Arabidopsis thaliana: one gene and its partner. The protein of the gene in region 2 interacts with the protein of the main gene of each other region in a pairwise test. Each region holds a gene or a part of one and is shown on either strand. Other genes may lie near its edges. The genes, in order: SMO1-2 and AT1G07560.

What was found.
Region 1: the proteins of AT1G07560 (region 2) and SMO1-2 interact in a protein complementation assay, tested with the Arabidopsis thaliana proteins (one large-scale study listed by BioGRID).

The regions. Positions count from the first base shown.
Region 1 is NC_003075.7:11,954,113-11,958,810, reverse strand, and holds SMO1-2 (sterol C4-methyl oxidase 1-2), read left to right. Parts: upstream 1-1,892; 5' UTR 1,893-2,115; coding exon 2,116-2,451; intron 2,452-2,529; coding exon 2,530-2,852; intron 2,853-3,193; coding exon 3,194-3,341; intron 3,342-3,434; coding exon 3,435-3,467; intron 3,468-3,627; coding exon 3,628-3,687; 3' UTR 3,688-3,971; downstream 3,972-4,698. Other genes in the region: AT4G22758 (PPR containing protein), read right to left, coding at 1-334. UniProt on the Arabidopsis thaliana protein: Non-heme iron oxygenase involved in sterols biosynthesis by catalyzing the removal of the first methyl group at the C-4 position. 4,4-dimethyl-9-beta,19-cyclopropylsterols such as 24-methylenecycloartanol are the preferred substrates.
Region 2 is NC_003070.9:2,325,088-2,331,678, forward strand, and holds AT1G07560 (Leucine-rich repeat protein kinase family protein), read left to right. Parts: upstream 1-2,227; 5' UTR 2,228-2,232; coding exon 2,233-2,317; intron 2,318-2,458; coding exon 2,459-2,996; intron 2,997-3,084; coding exon 3,085-3,566; intron 3,567-3,643; coding exon 3,644-3,788; intron 3,789-3,893; coding exon 3,894-3,965; intron 3,966-4,102; coding exon 4,103-4,174; intron 4,175-4,255; coding exon 4,256-4,333; intron 4,334-4,446; coding exon 4,447-4,607; intron 4,608-4,696; coding exon 4,697-4,905; intron 4,906-4,988; coding exon 4,989-5,115; intron 5,116-5,202; coding exon 5,203-5,259; intron 5,260-5,341; coding exon 5,342-5,531; intron 5,532-5,609; coding exon 5,610-6,009; 3' UTR 6,010-6,061; downstream 6,062-6,591. Other genes in the region: AT1G07550 (Leucine-rich repeat protein kinase family protein), read right to left, coding at 21-499, 681-1,218, 1,344-1,425; APK1A (Protein kinase superfamily protein), read right to left, coding at 6,282-6,591.

The DNA of each region.
Region 1 (4,698 bases), on a different chromosome or scaffold from region 2:
TCGGAGATGAAGACGAGGGCGAATATAAGTTCAACAACGACGGAGACGAAGCGAAAACCTCAGAGCGAATCCTAGGCAAGTAAACGATCGGTTTTGTTTCTTCTTCCATCGGTAAACCTCTCATCGGCGATGGTCGCCGCAAGTGATTACTCTGTCCGTCGCGGTGGCGATTAAGACTCGGCTCTGAGAAGCTTCTCTCGAAAACCTTATTACTCGATTTAGAGCGATTATTCTTGTCGGAAACATATCTGAAAGCTGTTCGTCTTGTTCTGGAGCTCCGACCTCCATTTCCTACAGGATTCGAAACTTTTCTCCGGTGAATCGAATCAGACATTTCGTGAATGATGATCTTTGCTTAAGGAGGAGGAAGAAGAAAAAACAATTGAGAGGTTTTGGTGGTTTGCTTGGCAAAGAAGCGAATTAAGAGTTATTCTCTGCTTTTGCTTTGCTTTACTCTTTTATTATCTTCTTTTCTTTCATTTGTATTTTTCAAATGTTTTTCCAAATCAAATTGTTTTTTTTTTTCTTTTTAACATAAGTGTGGATTTTAACATTTAAATTCAAACCGACCAAAAAAAATACACGATTAAAGGTAGTAATATAGACGTGGTTCTTGTAATATAGTATTTATATTTCCTGTCGACGATCGATTCTTTTATAGTATGATATCTTGTGCTGATTCTTACGTACTTGTGTTTATTATAGTAAAATAGAAATGCGTTGAATTGTAGCACTGTATTAGATTAAAACTTCTATGTAATTATGGAGCTAAAATGTTTTCTGGTTAGCATACGGAGTATTTTTTAAAAAATCTATCCTTATTATGGATAAAATGTGTTGGAAAAAGGCAATAATATACTTGTACAAATGAATATAAATTTCTTGATGCATTGTTTTAGAAGATTACTTGGGAGACTCACAATCCTATAAAGTGTAAAGGAAACAAAACTATTGGATTTGTAGAAAAGTTGACACGTTAAACAAGAAAACGAGAAACCCAAACAAGTTTCGTAAAACACAAAAAATCTAAGGTGATAGTGAGAAGCACATAAACAAATGAAAAAAAACACATAAACAATTAGAGAGGAGGGAGACTCAACTAGTATCATCAATTCATTAAATTTTACGAAAGTGCTGAGTAATGGAAGTAATATAAAAAATTTATAACCAAAAACAAGAATTCATCAACGTCAAGAAAAAACAACATAAAATAAAAAGGAGAATTTGTGTGGCTGAGATTGGTCCGAGGTTTGTTTCCACTGTTAAAAGAAAGAACTTTTGGGCTTGATTTAAAGTCATTAATGGTGTGGTCGACTTCTCTTATGCCATACGCACTCATGTTCACGCGTAACGCACTTGTTTTCCACCAAGTATTTAACAACGATCGTTTGTGACCCTTTTTTATGTATACTTGAAACTTAAAAAATATGTATTATTACATTTAAATATCATTTATTGTCATGACGAAAAAATTGTAAGACTTTATAATTTCAAATGTAACGTCACTTTTCGTGATGATGTAATACCATTCTATTACTTAAATACAATTGGCCAACAGCCTCAATTTATTTCAACCTTTTGCTATCTCTATAGTATAATGGTGTCATAAAAATTCATAGACACATTCCACAAAACTCGTGTATGTATATCCGTGTCTTTATATATATGTGTATATCCAAGTGTATAATAAAGTTTTTTTTCTTAAAAAAAAAAACAGAAATTTGTATGCACCATTTAAACAATTAAAGAAAGAAAATTGGGCCTACTCCAAACACAACGCTACTGTGGAGTACATTTTATCCATTTTAATGGCCCAATAATTTATAATGGGCTTTTAGTATGGGCCATTTTGTCCCTCTTTTTTATGTTGTAAGCGAGATCTTGAGACAATGTTAGTAATTTTGGTTTAATCCGGTTCAACAAGTAAACATCACACTTGTAAACTAAACCGATAATGCCACGTCACTACTCCAAATATTCGCCAAATCATAACAGACAAAATCCAACAACAACGACGACACTCTCCTCTCTCACTCTCTCTCTCAATCTCAATCTCAATCTCACGTCAACGACCGTCGCCGTCACCGGAAGGAAACGATTTCATCATCTTCTACAATGATCCCATACGCAACAATCGAAGAAGCGTCGATCGCATTATCTCGAAACCTCACATGGCTAGAGACTCTCTGGTTCGATTACTCCGCCACCAAATCCGATTACTACCTCTACTGCCACAACATTCTCTTCCTCTTCCTCATCTTCTCTCTCGTTCCTCTCCCTCTCGTTTTCATCGAATCATCTCAATCCACCTCAGATTTGTTCAATCGCTACAAAATCCAACCAAAAGTGAAAAACTCATTCTCATCGATGTTCAAATGTTACAAAGACGTCATGAAGATGTTCATCCTCGTCGTTGGTCCATTACAACTCGTTTCTTATCCTTCGATTCAGGTTAATTTCTGGAATTTGGCTTCTAATTTCGGAATTGATGCGATTTAGGTTGATTTTGTTTTTCGTGTGTTGAAACAGATGATTGAGATACGAAGTGGATTACCATTACCATCATGTATGGAGATTGTAGCACAGTTAGTGGTTTACTTCTTGGTAGAGGATTATACTAATTACTGGGTTCATAGATTCTTTCATTGTAAATGGGGTTATGAGAAGTTTCATCATATTCATCATGAGTATACAGCTCCTATTGGTTATGCTGCTCCTTATGCTCATTGGGCTGAGGTTTTGCTTCTTGGCATTCCCACGTTTCTTGGACCTGCTATTGCTCCTGGTCATATGATTACCTTTTGGTTGTGGATTGCTTTACGACAGATTGAGGCTATCGAAACTCATAGCGGGTAAGGAAAAGGAATGGTTTTGAATTGTTTATCTTAGTTTATAATGCGTTGGGGCTATGTGGGAAGTTTCAATAGTGCGTTTACCTTTTGTTGGTGGGGCTAAGGTTAGGCACTAGCCTTTTCTGATGCTTTATTGACTGTAATTAGCTCTAGGTGATTGTTTAGAGACTGCTTAGTTAATCTTTTGTGGTCAACATGAGCAAGAAATCATTCTTGAGATGATAAGCATCTTGTCTTGTTCAAATAAGTATTTGGACAATATGATGATTGCTTGGTGCATGAAACTTGTTTCTCTGGAGATAAATTGACTTGTTTTTTTTATTTTTCGTTTTCTTTTGAAGATATGATTTCCCATGGTCTCTGACAAAGTACATTCCATTTTATGGTGGAGCTGAGTATCATGATTACCATCACTACGTTGGAGGACAAAGCCAGAGTAACTTTGCTTCAGTTTTTACTTACTGCGATTACATCTATGGAACTGATAAAGTGAGTAATGAAACTTCAGTTCTTTTCCGGTTAGCGTCTACTAATTCTGGATAAAAATTTGACAATGTGGGTATATGTTCTTATTTTCATCAGGGTTACCGATTCCAGAAGAAGCTTCTTCAGCAGGTAAATAAATACTCCATAAACTGAGACTAGCTTATCTCTCGGCATACCGCATACCCATAAACGCAGCCATCAAATTGCAAGCTCACATAACAGTATATGTGGTATCTAGTATCATCATATTGATGATATGTTTCTTGATGCTATATCTTATGAGTTGCAGATGAAGGAGAAGTCCAAGAAGAGCAACAAGCTGGTTAATGGAGGAGAGAAATTCGATTAGTAAATCTAAAACCCCTCGCGAGGTTGACTTACCGTAAGTTTCAAGCATTCTACAAATGTAGTCAATACTTAAAAATGAAAGGGTAGTTAGTTTTCTCTGTTCTGGTCTTCCCTGTGTCACATGAAAATGCTCGTGACGAGTTCCTATCTGAAGTTTTTTTTAAAACTCTTTTGGAATTGGTGTGTGTCAATAAATCCTTTTTGTATATTTTAAATGTTACATAGTGCATTCATTGGCTTGTAACAAGTTCCTACTCTGATAGTATTAAGTTAAGTTAAGTATAACTTAAGTATCTAACGTTAACAACAAGGCCCGTCTAGCTCAGTTGGTAGAGCGCAAGGCTCTTAACCTTGTGGTCGTGGGTTCGAGCCCCACGGTGGGCGTTTCTTTTCCTTTTTGTTGCATTTGAGTGGCATGATTTAAAAGGAAAATCCTTACCATAACGATAGTTGCATTGATGATGGGGGTCGATTTCACTCTCGGAAAACAAATCTAATCAAAGAAGGCTAAAACAAGCGAAACACATGCATTTACTAAAGCTGTCTCACCAAACTTGAAAACAACAGTTTTAAGTACAGTAGTAGGTACAATAACTTATTTAGTTGTTACCAACTAATTTATGACTTTAAAATCGAAACACTCTCTTCCTTCCTGTGTTTTTTCAACTAAACCTAACAACACACAGTTTTTCTTTAACACACATTTCCTTGTTCTCGTTGTCTTAGAATTACCATGGACACAGTGAATATGATAATAACTTCAAGAATGGGGTTGTAGCTGTGTGAGGCTATATTTTTTTTTTTGGTTTAATGAGGCTATATTGTAAACTACTTCAATAAGTTTTTACTCTTAAACCAATTCACGAAAGAGTTTTAATGAACTTGATATTAAGTTTTTGTCCACACATATTTTGTGTATCAACGAGTTTTTCTTTTCTAGACGTATGGATCATCACTCTTCGTTTCGTAGATTGTTAAACAATGAAGAAAGGCTTTAGCTATTCAAAATCAT
Region 2 (6,591 bases):
TTTGTTCAAAGGCAACATACCATCATTTTGATTTGTTTCTGATTGAGGAAACTCAATGCCCGTGAAAATTTCGAAAGCATTCATCAAGGGTGGAAGAGTCGATTTCGGAGTTTTTATAAGTTGCAGACGACAAAATCCTCCCTCGCATGTCAGTGGTACATTGTTGAACATAACTTGTGCTTCAAATCTGGTAGGACGGAAAGGATCGAAATGAACTTTATTATTTACCACAACTTCGAATTCTCTAGTTTCATTGGCCTGGACTTCCATGATCTCGGCGATGTAAATATAACCGTAAACCTGGTCAGTAGCCGTCTTCAAATTCCAGGTAATGGTCATTGGATCACTGGCATTAGCGGGCATGGCGCCGGTCCTAAGTACATCTTGTGGTGGGTCATAGCCATCTATAGAATCAATAACGTGGTGACTTGTGTTTATATGCGTCCATTCTGGTAATATCAACGGCACCCAAATTCTATCATGCACATCTTGGGGATAACTGCCAAAATCAAGTTATATATTTTACTTTACATCAACTAATAACAATAATTAATACTGTATAATCTTGGTTTACGCTAGATGGCTTAAATGACAATAATATTAAAGTTTTTGTGGAGATTAAAGTTTCTGCTCATAATCTACTTTGGTTATTTATAAAGCATAAGGTGAAAATAAGGTACCGTATATAGTTGTTTGAATCGGTGAAATAGAACCGGTTATAATTCCTCAAGGAACCGGTTTGAGCAATATAAGTATCATATAGCAAGGGTCTCAACTCTATGGATGATATCATTGGTGTACTCGTCCCTGTCTTGACGAGACATATGTCCAAGATGTTAGACCTTGTGATGTGAATGATCTCCTCCAGAACTCCATCACCTGACTTCCCCATATCTATGGTTGTCCAAATATTAGGACCAAGATAGAGGTCGAATCTTGGAGAATTGTTAAGCCCGTCATAGTTTCCATATCGAAACATAACCCTGATTAGATAATTTGTGTCTTGCTTGACATTTAGACTGTAACAATTTCGGATTCCATCCGGAAAGTATCTCAAAACCGTATATGGCTTCCTGAGTTTCATAAGCAAGTCTTTTTGGACATTACCAGTTTTTCCTCCTTGAATGAAATCAGCATCGGATATGTACGTCAGATTGCTATTTGCTTCGTTGTAAGGAGACTCGTTAGAAGCTAATCCACAATCCAAACTGATGAATCCTGGTAAGACCGAAAAGGGAGAGGTACATATTGTTTTTCTTATATAAAGTTCTATCTCAAAAAAAAATTTAGAATGGTTTATTTCCAAAATTATTGTAAAAAAGAAAAACAGATGATAAAAAGACCTTGTTGATTCTGAGATTGAACAAGATGTAAGATGGATAAAGTGGCACACGCAGCAAACAGAAGCCTGGTGCAAGTGTCCATTTTTGATGATTTCTTCGTTCACAACTAACAAAACTTACTACTACCAAAGTTTTGAAATGGACAAATTTTTAGTGTTATAAGCTGCAAATGGAATTAATCATGGTGACGTCTACGTATAAATTTTGTTTTAAAAACTTAAACTTTTGCCATGGTTTTATCTAACGAATAATAACAGCTAACCACTGGTATAATATCCATATAAAATAAATCAAGACGTTAGTGGTTGATTATAAAATTTTTGAAATGAAAAATATGCAACCAGGTTATATACTCTCTATATTTTAAAAATCTCGATTCATTTGTTCACTTTTGCTTATATTCGTGGTTTGATTCTGACACGATCGGTGACTTTGCCATATATGAATATGACATCCCTTCACACACACGGTAATAACTCATTTTCTCAGGTTAATCTACTATAGGTGTGCTTGATGATAACCAATTAGAATCAATCAGTTCTACTAATTTCCACTTGCAAACCTTTTTTATAAAATTTAAACATGACACACACTTGTCAGATTTTATAATTCCACTTGAGAAAAGTCTTACCATAATCAAATTATTAGACAAATTATTTCGAATTTGGTTAGAAGATCGGTCCAACTCAATAGGTGGCTTATTGTTATTGGTATGTGAACGTTGACATATTTCCCGTTATGATCCGCCCCAAGCAGAAATATAAGTTAATAAATAATTATTTAACAATTCATCCGTTTTTTATATCCAAAGGTTTGATTTGGCATGTTTTATATTGCAAGTACATTGGCAATTCGTAATCCTTTTTTTTTTTTGGACAGAGGTGGGAAAATGAAAAACCTCCGTGGACTTCTATTGGCCTTCCTAGTTTTGTCTTTAGGCATTTCCGATTTTCTTCGAGCACAAGATCAACAAGGTATAACTTTTTTTGTTTCAGGTTTTCTTCTTTTAACTTTGACTAAACATGTTTCCTATCACAATTTAGTCATTAATTCAGTTTCCAAACTTATTTTTTTACCAAATTATTTCTCTGTTTTTTTTCTTTTGCCTTTATCAGGATTCATCAGTTTGGATTGCGGGTTGCAAGCCGATGAGTCTCCTTATACCGAACCATTAACAAAGTTAACATTCACATCAGACGCCGATTTCATCAAAAGTGGAAAAAGCGGCAAGATTCAAAATGTTCCGGGGATGGAGTATATAAAGCCATACACGGTTTTGAGATATTTTCCAGATGGAGTACGAAACTGTTATACTCTTATCGTCATACAAGGCACAAACTATCTGATCGTAGCCATGTTTACTTATGGAAACTACGATAATCTTAACACACACCCAAAGTTCGACCTTTATCTTGGTCCAAATATATGGACCACGGTCGATTTGCAAAGAAATGTAAACGGAACAAGGGCGGAAATCATTCACATACCAAGGTCAACTTCTTTGCAGATTTGTCTTGTTAAGACGGGAACAACTACGCCGCTAATATCAGCTTTAGAACTACGACCATTGAGAAATAATACTTATATTCCTCAATCTGGTTCCCTCAAGACATTGTTCCGCGTCCATTTGACTGATTCCAAAGAAACTGTTCGGTAAGCCAACTCAAAACCAATTGGTAATGAATAGATTGGTTTCCACTGGATACACTGTTCGGTAATACTTTCCATCCTTTCTCTTCAGGTATCCAGAAGATGTCCATGATCGTCTTTGGAGTCCATTTTTCATGCCGGAATGGAGACTGTTAAGAACAAGTCTCACGGTCAACACTTCTGATGATAACGGCTATGACATACCGGAAGACGTAGTGGTTACGGCAGCCACACCTGCAAATGTGAGTTCACCATTAACCATTTCTTGGAATTTGGAAACACCTGACGACTTAGTTTATGCATACCTCCACGTCGCTGAGATCCAATCCTTAAGGGAAAATGATACCAGGGAATTCAACATTAGCGCAGGCCAAGATGTTAACTATGGACCTGTTAGTCCTGACGAGTTTCTAGTGGGTACTCTATTCAATACATCACCAGTTAAATGTGAAGGAGGGACATGCCATTTGCAACTAATAAAAACTCCAAAATCAACTCTCCCTCCCCTCCTCAATGCTATTGAGGCTTTTATAACAGTGGAGTTTCCGCAGTCTGAAACTAATGCAAATGACGGTATGTCAGCAAAATCTGAGTATATATATACTTTTTTGTATATACTTAAGTGTTTTCATTCTGTTATTGTGTGTTAGTCCTTGCTATCAAGAGCATAGAAACAAGCTATGGATTAAGTAGAATTAGTTGGCAAGGAGATCCATGTGTTCCTCAACAATTATTGTGGGATGGTCTTACCTGCGAGTACACCAATATGTCTACACCACCAAGAATCCATTCCTTGTACGTCCATGGCTATTCGTAACATTAAAACAGTTTTTTGTTAAGCTCTGCATTTCGTAACATCTTACACTTTAAATGTGTGTTATGATCTTTAATTACCACCAGAGACTTGTCCTCAAGTGAACTAACTGGAATTATAGTTCCTGAGATCCAAAATCTTACGGAGCTTAAAAAATTGTAAGTATGAACACATTGCCAATTTTTTATCAAGGTCAAACACATACTCTGTTTTACCTGAATACTCTGTTTTACTTGAATACTCTGTTTATCAAGGCCAAACATATAATCAATTAATTCATTTTTGCATATGATAGGGACTTTTCAAATAATAATCTAACAGGTGGAGTACCTGAATTTCTAGCCAAAATGAAATCATTGTTAGTCATGTAAGTTACTTGGTCACTCATATGAATCACATTGCCAATTTATTATCCGAGTCTGTTGATGTTTATTTTTTACCTAGGCAGAAACTTAAGCGGAAACAACCTTAGTGGATCAGTCCCTCAAGCTCTTCTCAACAAAGTGAAAAATGGGTTGAAGTTGAAGTAAGATCTTCTCAACTATATTTAGTCTTCAATAGTTGATGGTCATTGAAATATGATATCTTAATTTGCAGTATGTCTTCACTAACACTTGATTAGCTTGTTTACAATACTAGCATTCAGGGAAATCCAAACCTATGTTTTTCCAGTTCATGCAACAAAAAGAAAAATAGCATCATGTTACCAGTTGTTGCATCACTTGCTTCTTTGGCTGCTATAATAGCAATGATCGCTCTGCTTTTTGTTTGTATTAAAAGACGCTCATCAAGCAGAAAAGGTATCTGTATCAAATTCATCAAACCAGAAATATTATTGTATGCATACATAATTATAAAGTGATTTCTAATTATTTGTGTATGGTTCTAGGTCCATCACCAAGCCAACAATCAATAGAAACAATAAAGAAAAGATATACATATGCCGAAGTTCTTGCCATGACAAAGAAATTTGAAAGGGTTTTGGGTAAAGGAGGATTTGGAATGGTCTATCATGGTTATATAAATGGTACTGAAGAAGTAGCGGTCAAGCTACTCTCTCCATCATCAGCTCAAGGCTATAAAGAGTTCAAAACAGAGGTTTCTTTGGCACCCTTATGAATTTTTATACATTTTTGTAAGGCTAAGTTGACGTATATTATATATTGTACATATTTGGATAGGTAGAACTTCTTCTAAGGGTTTACCACACAAATCTGGTAAGTCTTGTTGGATACTGTGATGAAAAAGATCATCTGGCCCTCATCTACCAGTACATGGTCAATGGCGATTTGAAAAAACATTTTTCAGGTAACACATGTATATTCTCATGCATATATCATGACAGAAATGCATCGTGTTGATATGTGACATTCATGTCTATGCTAATACATGCAGGTAGCTCCATCATTAGCTGGGTTGATAGACTAAACATAGCTGTTGATGCAGCGTCAGGTTCGTCATTTTCATTTCCTTTTAACACCACTTGATCAAACTTTCTATTGTTTTGTTAAACACCAAAGAACTTTGGAGACAGGTTTGGAGTACTTGCATATTGGTTGCAAACCGCTGATAGTTCATAGAGATGTAAAAAGTTCTAACATACTATTGGACGATCAATTACAAGCTAAGCTTGCAGATTTTGGGCTTTCTAGATCTTTTCCCATTGGGGATGAATCTCATGTGTCTACACTTGTTGCTGGAACATTTGGATACCTTGATCATGAGTAAGAATTTTAGCTCTTTCTGAAAACTATCTTCTCTACCGGTTAAAACAAAAGAATCATAATCATTTCGTCTTGCAGATACTACCAAACTAATAGGTTGTCTGAGAAGAGTGATGTCTACAGTTTTGGTGTTGTACTGCTAGAAATTATTACAAACAAACCGGTGATCGATCATAACCGCGACATGCCTCACATAGCAGAATGGGTGAAACTTATGCTTACTAGAGGAGACATTAGCAATATTATGGATCCTAAACTTCAAGGGGTCTATGACTCTGGTTCTGCATGGAAAGCTCTTGAATTAGCAATGACATGTGTGAATCCTTCTTCCTTGAAAAGACCCAACATGTCCCATGTTGTTCATGAGCTGAAGGAGTGTCTGGTATCTGAAAACAACAGGACAAGAGACATAGACACATCGAGATCCATGGACATTAACTTAAGCTTTGGCACAGATGTGAACCCCAAGGCACGTTAGTCTTTTACTCTTTACTTTGCAGCATTCATAACAAGCAGATATGCGAACGAACTTATCATTATGTTGATGAATCCTCATGTTACAAAGATCAAAATTAAATGTTTGTCGTAGTGTAATGAGAGGTGAACTGTATTTAAACAGAATTCTTACATTAAGAGAGACAAAAACTGTACATCCAGATTCCATTCTCAGGACATGATATAGGAACTTCATGTCCTGCAAATGTTTTACCAAGAACACTGAACACAGACCCAGGACGTGTTTAACCCTATTCAAACATACAGTGGCGAGGCTGATGGGCGAGGATAAGCAACAACTGTACTGCCAACAGCAGTCTGTCGAGCAAAACCTGCATTCACTTTTTTGCTGACAACACTGTCACTTCTCCTACGCATTCTTCTATCTGTTTTATCCATATTTCCTCCTATAGCAGCATTTAAAGACTGAATGTGTTCGAGGTGCGAAACAACCTCGCTCATGTTTGGTCTCAGCTTAATCTCTGTGGTGAGACATCTCAGAGACAGAGTAGCCACTTTACATGCTTCTTCCATAGAGTACTGGTCCTGAAGACGATTATCAATG